Caenorhabditis elegans: one gene and its partner. The protein of the gene in region 2 interacts with the protein of the main gene of each other region in a pairwise test. Each region holds a gene or a part of one and is shown on either strand. Other genes may lie near its edges. The genes, in order: C52A11.3 and ssr-2.

What was found.
Region 1: the proteins of ssr-2 (region 2) and C52A11.3 interact in a two-hybrid assay, tested with the Caenorhabditis elegans proteins (one large-scale study listed by BioGRID).

What each region holds. Positions count from the first base shown.
Region 1 is NC_003280.10:10,735,475-10,739,241, reverse strand, and holds C52A11.3 (PDZ domain-containing protein C52A11.3), read right to left. Parts: upstream 1,884-3,767; 5' UTR 1,841-1,883; coding exon 1,814-1,840; intron 1,659-1,813; coding exon 1,518-1,658; intron 1,474-1,517; coding exon 1,327-1,473; intron 1,158-1,326; coding exon 1,077-1,157; 3' UTR 614-1,076; downstream 1-613.
Region 2 is NC_003284.9:2,822,893-2,829,823, forward strand, and holds ssr-2 (Sperm-Specific family, class R), read right to left. Parts: upstream 4,861-6,931; coding exon 4,834-4,860; intron 3,938-4,833; coding exon 3,773-3,937; intron 2,839-3,772; coding exon 2,710-2,838; intron 2,577-2,709; coding exon 2,478-2,576; intron 2,425-2,477; coding exon 2,284-2,424; intron 2,216-2,283; coding exon 2,087-2,215; intron 1,124-2,086; coding exon 986-1,123; intron 913-985; coding exon 827-912; intron 781-826; coding exon 687-780; 3' UTR 609-686; downstream 1-608.

The DNA of each region.
Region 1 (3,767 bases), on a different chromosome or scaffold from region 2:
TTCTCCCTGTTACAACATACGTGATATTTTAGTCTTGTAGGTGATCAAACACTCAATTCGTTTCGATTTCCGGGTTTTACACTCTTTCCCTTCATATTCGTCGTTCATTTTCTGACGAACTTCTAATAATATTCTAGCATTCCTACCTTCAAAAGTGCTCAATGTTATTCGTACCGCTTCCCCCTTAAAATTATTTCCTTGTTTTTTTCTTGATTCGAATCCTCTCCCCCAACTTTCAACACAACTCAGGTTTCCATATTTTTTTCTTAATTTTTTTTGAATTTTTTTTTTTGAAATATAGGCGAGCAATTTTATGCATTTTGTAGGCAGTCAATTATGTCTCGCCTCTTCTGTCAAACTCTGCAGGGTACTTTTTTGAAATGTTTTTCTTTTTGAAGTTTTACCGTTTTTTTTTTTGAAAACTATTCAATTCGTTCCAAACATGCTGAATATCTAGTCGTTTTACACCCATTTGCAAAGTATGCGGTGATATTATTTCCTTAAGTTTAGTGTTCTATCTTTTAGTCCTTATTTTGGATCTTTCATTGTTTTATTTTTGGATAATTTCCCACGCATGAATAGTATATAATAAACTGTTTTTCTTGTGTTTATTGTTTTTTTTTAATATTTCATAAATATTCCAATTAGTCGAGTAACCTCCCACCAGGAAGTTCAATAATTTTTTAAGATCGTTACAATAAAACTGTTGAGGTTAGTCAGGAAAAAAAATGTTATAGCGTGTGTGAGGAGGTGAAATTGCTAGCAAAATAGATTTTTTGACGGATAAAATCTACAACAGTAAGTAAGTGCATTCCGTTACAATGCGAGATTTGAATTTTGGTACAGATAAAGGGTTCGTTGGGGAAATAATTATTGTATCTTATCAATTTCTTGCAGCAAACTTCAACAAATTTTAGAAACTTTGGTAATGCCAAAAAAAGTTGATGAGGTTGGTTGAGGCTTTTTGCTGAAATTAGCCTTTTGGAAAATAATTTTTGGGAAGAAATATACGATTTCAAATAATTAGAAGATAAAAAGAAACTGTTCGTAGCGCAATAATTAAAATATAGGGACCATTATTTATGTACCTTGTGAGGACGGGCGATTTGAAGATACAGTCGTTGACCAGATGCTTTGACCGATTTCACCACCGAGCGCTGAAGTAAGTGACAAATATAGATATCGGATATCTAAATGTTTGTTATAAATATAAACTAGTTAGTCTTGCTCGCATCTTGCACAAATTTCCCCCTTAGAAAATTTTTTCAATTTCAGTCAGTTTTTGGATAATTTTATTGTGTCTCCTATTTGTTGTATCATTCTTACCTGATCCAAAATTGGACGTCCATTGACCGCCAAAATACGATCTCCAACTTTCAATTTCTCAGCGGCAACCGATCCAGGTACTACAGTGGTTATGAGGATTCCACGATCTCTTACCCCGACTCCCATTCCGATTTTCCGATTGGCATCCTGAGAAAAATCTATGAAAGTATAATGGAAGTGTTGATGAAAACCTTCTGAAGCTTGACAAGTAATGTATCACAACCCTCTTCTTTCAAATCGGAAATGATTCCGACAGCGAGTGAACTGTACTCATAACTGCTCAATGTGATAGTTGATGGTGGACTAGGTGGTTGTCTTCGGTGAATTTTTATCTGTAGTATTATTAAATATGTTTCATAAGCTCTTTAGGATGTTTTATATGTTTTATACTTGAAAATTGTTTCAAAAATTGTCAAGCAAAGGGGCAGTATTTTTGAATAATAATCCTAATGTTCAATAATTATTTTTCCACAAAACGATTAATTACCGGAAAGCAGCAAGTGATTCGTCGCATTGTTCTGGAATCCGTAGAAAGTTATGGTCCAAACTGATAGTAAAAATCTTTCATCAGAAAATGATTACTCTCAACTTTATATTTATACCTTCCCGGCTCAAACTTTACCTCTCCAATTAACATTATATTTCATTGTTTTTGAATAAATCATATTTACCCTCTGATCATTTTCATGAGATCATAGGGTAACGCGTGATATATTGAACATTTATATAATTATGAATCACAATAGTCATCACTTTAGGGACTTTTTTGTTGCTAACAATCTCAAATAAATTATTTAGTATGATCAGAGAAGGGGTTTCCAAACTGAGATGAGTAAGAATGACGTTAAAAAACTTGCATGCCTACAGTCTAGAAGTTCTTAATTTTTTTTACTTGTTCTAAATCAACTTGAAAGTTCTCACAATCAGTAAATAATTGCAAATATATATTTAAAATTAGTGAAATATAATCTAAGAAAATGTCAGCTGCTACCAAAATTCTGTTCTAACCAGATTTTCGCAAATATTATCTGTCAAACGTTAAAAATAAAAACAAAAAGTTAAAATTTTCTTCCATATAAAATTTGTTAATTTTGTAGTTCCGACTGGTTTGTGCCTTATATCTTACCTTGTGCGGAGTTTGAAAAATCATTTCCGCTCCTTTTTTTAAAGTTTTAATAATTTCGAGGTTAACATGCGTAAAAATATGTCTCATTTCAAAAAAGAAGATCAGACAAGCTAACATTGTTTGAAACTAGATGTGTCATGGAAAAAAAATCATTCAGAATTTTTATTCGGCAAAAAATCGAATTTTTCACAAAATATAAATTTGACTCCTTTTTAAAAAATGTATGATAATTTTGAAAGTTGCCAAAATTCAAAAAAAAATTGCACATAGCTGAATTTTAACCCTTTTTTTCTAGCTTTTTCTTGTACCTAAGTTCGGTTTTTGGGAAATTGATCTGAAGATTTTCTGACGCACCACACTTTTTTTAAAGTCTTTTTCTAAAAAATTTCAATTATTTTTCTCATTTTCAATTCGCTCTTTAAATGTTGTTATTCCTTCCCAGGAAAAAATTGGACTGTCATGTTTTGTACGAAAATTCCCTGACTTGAATACTTTAGATTTTTATTTTTGTATTTGTATTTAATCTGGAATATTCCTTTTTCACGAGCACTTGATTTCAAAATTGTATTTCTATTGCTTTCAGAATGTACATAATTCTACAAAACTTCTCATTGTAGCGTGTAAACAGATCCTGTTTTCCCCCGTTAATTTAAGACAGAACAATTCTTCGAACAATTTTTTCTGAATCCCTTTCCTCTTTCTATTCCCTTCTACTACCTTTTCTTCGAATTCTCACTCCATTTGAGCCACGAATCGTTGTCAAGGAGACTCTGTGTTGTCAGAAGCAGAAGACACCGAAAGAAACGAGCCTCCGTGTGAATGTAATTCAGGTTTTGGATTTCCGAAAAACGAAGAATGTGAATTAACTTTTTTCGTACGGCATTTTCTATTTCCATCTTTCCTCTTTTTTCAAAAAATCACCTGTTCCTCTGCCCACATCAAACTCACATACTTCTGTCATCTTGCTCTCTTTTAGCCAAACTTGTTTGAAATTGAATCGGCGAAAATGCCAATTGATAAGTATAAATTAAGTTTGAATAAAGTATAAACTGGGGTTCTGGTAGAGCAATTATATTTGTCATAATTCAGATAGGATGGTTTTAGAAAAATCGGTTCTCCCAGACCAGGTCTGGTTAGCGCAAAAGTCACGAATTTTCATTTCAAATAAGTAGAAAATATCCTGTAAATAATTTCTTAAAAGTTTCCCAGTTACTATCAGAAAGAATGTGGATGAGTAATGTCATAAACTTACAAAAGTGATGCCGACTCGGGTTTATCTCAATATTTGGTTGCAACTACTTTTGCAACTTCTTAC
Region 2 (6,931 bases):
ATTTTTTTAGAATGCTCAAATAATGATTAATTTAAATTTAATTTACACGCGAATGTTCATTTTGATACGTGTTTCATTTTTCGGCTCAGAAAACAACATTATTAAGCCGGAAAATACAGAAAAAGGTCACGTTTTTATCAATGTAAATGTTCTAAAAAGAGGGATGGAGTAGAAAAAGAAATGCACCTAAATTTGTGATGTAGAAAATTGGTTTTAATAGTAATGCAATATTTCCCATACTTTCTACTTTCTGTGTGTATCTAAAATTCTAGTAGTAAACAGTTGAAGACAAATTTCGCACATCACCCTTAATTAGTTTTTTGCAAACCGTTTTATTTCGCCCTACGAGTAAACTGCAAAATTTTCTTACTCTGATAATTTTTTTCAATTTTTGTTCTTTCACCCCCTTTTCCTCCCTTAACCTAATCCTTTTTTGACAATTTGAAATTGAATGAGTTTTTGCACAATTTTTTAATATGTAACAGACGCAACTGATTAATGTCAAGAAATTTTCAAATCATTTTTTTTTCTCATTCAACATGTTCATATATATATATATTTTTTTTTCTTCTCCTATCTCATGAGTTTCATCGCCAAAATAAAGTTAATCCAAATACAATTTTACTTCCCAGAAAGATATATAATTAAATACAGTGATAAATCGTTGGTTACAAAAAAATAATAATTTATTGAATTTTGCAATCACTCTCGTCGACGATTTCCTCGTGATTTGACTTTTCTCCATGACGACGCATTTTCAAAGATAGATGTTTTGTTCTCCTGAAAAAATGACACTTTTTCATTGCTTTTAAATTCTCTTTCAAACCGGATAAGACTGGAGCTGCGTGAAATTTTAGGCTCATCCGACAGCTTCCTCTCGACTTGTTCTTTGTCCCTACGCGGTGACTTCATCTGAATAAAAACGTCATCACATGTATGGGAATAGAGAGAAATTATGTTTTGTTACATAGGGATTGATACATACTCTTAAAGAAAGGTTTCTTTTCAAATCGCCAATGTGCAGCGGGACTGCAAGAACGGGGTGAGAAGCCTGCTTATCAAGTTGAGGTTGCTCACGAGCAGATTGTGAGCCGTTTTTTGTAGAAGCTGTGTTTTTCTCATCCTGAAATGCAAACGTATAAGAGTATAGTACTTCAAAAAATGGTACATCACATCCGGCTAACTTTCTGAAAAAGGAATCAAAGTTTGTTGGATTTTACTGAAGGTGGAGTAGAGTCCAAAACTTTTTTTGGTTTTAAATGACAGAAATGGAACCGTAGTGACTATAAAAAATTATAAAACTTTGCTAATTTTCTAATATATTTTGTTTTATTTTGAACAGAAGAAATTGGCTAATTATTTATGAAATCACGCGCAAATTAGTGACGACATTTTTGTCATTTTTTTGCTTTCCAGCTATAATGATTGGGGTTTCTCTGCTTATTTTATTGAATATTTGATGTGACACACAGTTTCCCAATTTTGAAAACATTTTTTGGAAAATGAAAGTTGTTAACCAGAAAGAAATTCATGTATCAAAAACACAGAAAATGTATAAAATGACGTCACTAATTTGCTGGTGAATTTTATATAATGAGCATAATTTTGCAAACTTGAGAAATCATTAAAAACTGAAAATAATTTTATAAATTCATTATTTTTTATTTTCGGGGATTACGGTTTTCTAATATTCACAGCAAAATTGTCAAGTAAAAATTCAAAATCTGCTTTATTCAAAAACTTTTTTAGTAGCCGTACCATATAAATGCTTAACCAATTTACCAACAAATTCAAAAAAAAAACTTTTTTTGATCAACTCAGAAGTATTTTTATCAATATTCAAAAAAGCAATTTTTTTACAAATAATTTTTTTTTTCAAGAGGAGATTTTTTATTTTTGAAACGTCGTAACTTAGCTGAACTAGCATGCATTCCCGCATTAGAAAAAATCGATATGCCACTAAAAGAAATTATAATTTTTTTTTTCACCCAGGACTTATCCCCCCAACAAGTAGCATTACAGCATTACAATTTCAATTTAAACTTTTGAACTTTTCTGGGAAATTATACAACTCAGCTGCTTGTACCTCCATCAATGTTTTCCTCGGGTCCCGCCTAGTCGTCGACTTCGCCCGCACCGTTGCCGATCTACGGATCGATGGGCTGCTCCTGGTCTCTTCGTCCTCGGCCACATCATCGAGACGACCACCACCCGCCTGAATAACTCACACTATTCTCATATTCTATCAAGATAGATTGTGTGCGTACGCACACACACACTCACTTTGCATCGTGGGAAACCGGATAATTCGAGCAGTGTGCGGAATACGTCGGTAATCCGGATATTGTCTTTGGCCGACACCTCGATATAACGAACGTCGGACGATAAGCGATTTGTGAATGCTTTCGCCGTTTCTTCGTATATCTTTAAATGGGTACCAGAAAAAAATCTCAAAAGAAAATTCAGAAATTTTTTACCTTCTTATTTTCAACATCGCATTTGTTTCCCACAACAACAATCGGCAGCTCATTCAAATCACTACGCCTTGAGCATATTTCTTGCCATATATCCGACATCTGAAAATGATATGAAATCTTGTCGCATTAGTAGCTGCTCATCTATCCTTCGCACATGTGTGAAGACTTAGTCTATTTTTGCTCAAAACTCGCTGCTAATTCGGAAATGTGGGTTACGGTATCGTTAACTTGCCTCCTTGAAGCTTGTGACGTCGTCCACCGAGAAAACTAGAAGAAAGGCCGACGCTGATGCAATCGAAAGACGTCTCATGTCGGGAAAATTGAAGTTGGTATCCAAAATGTCTAGTGGTAATGGGACACCCTGAAACATTAATGTGAATCAACTTTCCATTTGTTCTTTGGAAGTTTAAAGGGAGGGGGGAAGGGTAGAGAGAAAAAGACCGAAAGCGACCGAATTTCGTAATGAAACTTCTCAAAAAACTTCCAATTTTTCATGGCGGCCAAATTTTTCTAAAATCTGAAACTCCGCCAGCTTTTCTTTGTCGCTTTTTGAAATTTTGATAATTTTATATGCCTACACGATATCAACTACCAGAGTATGCTTTTTATAGTTTGATAATTTCAAAAATCATTTACTATATATAAAGCGCTTATTCCGTTTGTCCATAGTTTGTAGTCTTTGTAGTCTTTGTAGTCTGTGAAGTTTTGGCTTCTGGAGGGATAGTGAGTTGGGGTTAGTGTAGGGATATAGTCGGGGTACTGTAGTGGTACAATGGTGGTACGGTAGGAGTACTGTATGATTACGGTAGTTTCAGAAAATATGGTTTTCAGCTCCAGAAGTCGGGGGCCGCGCCGGAGTTGCGGTCCACGGCTGGTAAACTATATTCCAGCAAAGAAAAATTGCGAAATTTCAGAATTTGAAAAAATCTGACTACGTTTCTTAGAATTTGTTTTGAAAATTTGACCCCTCATTAAAAACGTTTGGAAATTATTTTCATTATGAAATTCGGCCGTGCTGGGCCAGTTTCACCCTATTTAAGCAAAATATCCACAAATTCTACTTCCCCCAGGCCTTCCACGCGGGTACCAAAATGCCTTCCTTGCGGCGACCTCCGCTCGCCTCGCGCTTTCTGTATAGTGCGTCGAGTAACCCGAAAAGTGTCGGCCGCGGCAAAAGCTGAAATAAGGCGAGAGGGCGGCGTGAGGCGGGCAGGTTGGAGGCAGGTGTTAGGCCCTGGAAGCTTGCCTGCCTCCTATGGAAGCCCTGACCCAAAGATTTGAATGAAAGAACCAACCTGGATACGAAACTCTCTCGAATGTAAATCCTCAATCGTTTCCTTATACTTGCTTGAAAATTCATTATATAAGTAGCGACGAATAATATTAGTTTTTCCCACTTTCGCAGAACCCAGCACCACCAGACGGTACCGTTCTTCGCACATTTCGTCCTCGGTTTTGGGCTGCAAGCATTTGAACATATTGACAGGGAAGCACACAATATAAGATTTGAAAATGGATAGTTGGAATATTGGGAAGAGAATCGGAGTTTTGGCAATAAATGTTCTTGGCCTTGTTTGCTATTTTAATGGTTCATGTACCTTCTCCATAGCAATTTATGCCTGGTGGCTAGGATATTAAGTCATGAAACGAATTCTCCTTTCCAAATAAAATGAGAGACAATGTAAGATTTTAAGTGCTCGTATAAATACAAGTCGTTTGTAATTTAAAACTCTCAAAGTTTGAAAGTTAAGAGGGGGGGGGGGGGGGGTAGAGAAAGGTTTTGAATGAATACAGAGATCTAACTAGTGTTTGTAGGATCACTTGTTAATTTCATCCACGAGTCCTTCCGTTTAGTCCTTTTTTCAAACTTTCAATTTCTGTTTACTGCAGTATGGAGGTAGGTTGGTATGGTGTTAAATGTGGAGTAGGGCCAGTGGGGAAAGTGTTCAAAACTACATCAATAGTGCCAAAATGACATATTTATAATTTTGAAAGTCGGTCAAAAAAAAACATGTACTCCTAATTTTGAAAGTCGGTCAAAAATTAAATTCTGCGAATTTCATACTTTACTTTTGTTTTAATTATACATCAAGAAGTTCCAGTAGTCAAAATTTTTTCAAAAAATTGGCAAATTGCCAAAAAATTGACTGGGAGTAAAAAAAATCTCTACAAAAAATTCTACAAAAAAAATTTCATTTTCAGACGGAACAAACCATTTTTTGCATTTCTATATCAATTTTTGTATGGAAAAAGTTTTTTAAAAAGCGGCACAGCACTGGTGTAGACCTCTCTTTTTTTCCTATTTTTTGGTTTTTCTCACGCCTTATGTTTTTTCTTCCTGATCTGGTAAACCTACAATTGTTGATGGAAGCGTTGAAGTCATCGCGGTGCACAATAAGGACCAGAAGAAAAGAAAAATACCGACGGACAGAATATGAGTTGCAGGTTTGGCTGGTCTGCACAGCCGATTGAACAAGGGTTGCGTCACTTGTTTTGTTGGGAGAAGCCGCGGACGGAAAACGTGACTTCTCCTTTCTCGCTTTTTTTTTCTTTCTCGGAAGATACTAACTGATAGAAAGAGAATATGAAGATGAATATGAGTCTTGAGAGGGAGTATAAGAGAGAAAACACCCCCCCCCCTTCTCTCCGGAATTATATCTTTTTATCCTCGTCTTTCTTCCTTTCTCACTTCTCCTTGGGTCTAGATCAGGAGAAATGAGGAGAGCAGTTACTGGTTGACGGATTAGAGCCTCGTAATCTACATATTACATTGGTATAAGCTCTCTGACATGCAGAGCACACACTCAACATCTTACTTCCAAAAAAGCCTACAGTAAACTAGGCCCCAGAAAATAGTTGATAGTTAAGGAAGGAATTAACAAACGTGAGCAGTAAAAACCAAACATAATGAAACTGAGTGCCAATGGATGAGCAAGGTGCAGAGGCATTGTGTCTTTCTATGTGTGTGTGTGTGTGAATAACCAACCCAGAAGCACTCTCTGGAAATTGATGCTCCGTGAATAATAGGAAAACTACTATTCAAATATTTTCCCTGAATAATAGAGTTGTACTACGAAAAGAAGTCTTATTGCAGTTCTCGTTATTTTGGAAATAAAAAAAACAATAGCCTCACTAAACAGTAAAAATGTTAAGAAAAGTTTGGTTTCAAAATCTGATAATTTGGAAAGTATATGTATAAAAACGGGGAAATGTTAGAATAATTAAAGGAGAGAATTTTAAACGTGAAGAATTCTCAAATGACCATCTAATGAAACTTCTCAAAAATATTTGTTAAAGAAATTATCGCGATTTTAGCAAAACATTTTTAATTTCCGCCACTTTTGCAGCGGTCCGAAAGTGACTTTTTTTTTGAATTATCATAATTTGTTGCATCAGGAACAGAAGTCAAAATTGGGAATTTTTGCAAAAAATTTCAAAATTTTTGATAACTTTTGCCAATAACCAAAATATTTGAGATGAAGCGGCTGATTTAATTTTGAATTTAAAAAGGCAAAAACTGGGCAAAATTGTCGGGATTTGTTTTTTTTTCTAATTTTTCATTGATATTTGAATTGAAAAATCATTCGTTCAATTTTTAAATTTTTACCGTAAAACAATTTTTCTTTTTTTTTCATTTTTTTCCCAAAAAAAAAACAAAAAAAATTAAAAATGCCTACACTTCCAAAATTCCGAGTAGCAATCAATTTTATCGAGAAACACACATTTCCAGAACTGACTTTGATTTTCAGAATTCTCTTAATTCTAAATCAAAACGAGAAACAAAAGAAAATAATTAGTTTCAGATTCACAAAAATTTTCTTAGTTCCGATTGAAAGATTAGATTCTTGTTAGCAAAAATTTACAAATAAAATCAGGGACGCAAAATTTTTAAGTTATAAGAAATTAAAATTTGTGAAGCCTACCTAAAAATGCTCAAAATTTAAAAAATAATTTTTAAAAAATTCCAGCTAAATGAGTACCTGCAATTATTAACAAATCAAAAAAAAAAGCTTAATGAGAAGGGAACTCCTCTGCGCATTTTTTTTTTGGTTCGAAGTCGACAAAAACTAGCAATGGATAGATTAGGACTTGATGAGCATTGAAGCAAAAAGAGCACTCTCGCAGCAACAGAGCAAGCAATTCGTCCCCTGTTTGACACCATTAACTTGAAAATTGTTAGTAGGAATCTAGATGAGATGACTTGATGGCATTGTTTTTTTAAAGGAGGGGACATAGTTTGTGGGGTTTTTGCTTAAATATACTAAAACTGGTCCAAAACAACCAAATTTCAAAATAATACTTCTCTAAAAAAAATGCCAAAAATGTTTTATGGTGGTTCAAATTTTATTGCATTTTTTGGTAGTTTATCTCATTTTATTAAAGACAAATGGTTTTAATAAAAAAACGTTCAAAATTGAAAAGTTGGTTGAACGTAAAGACTTAAAATCTGATAA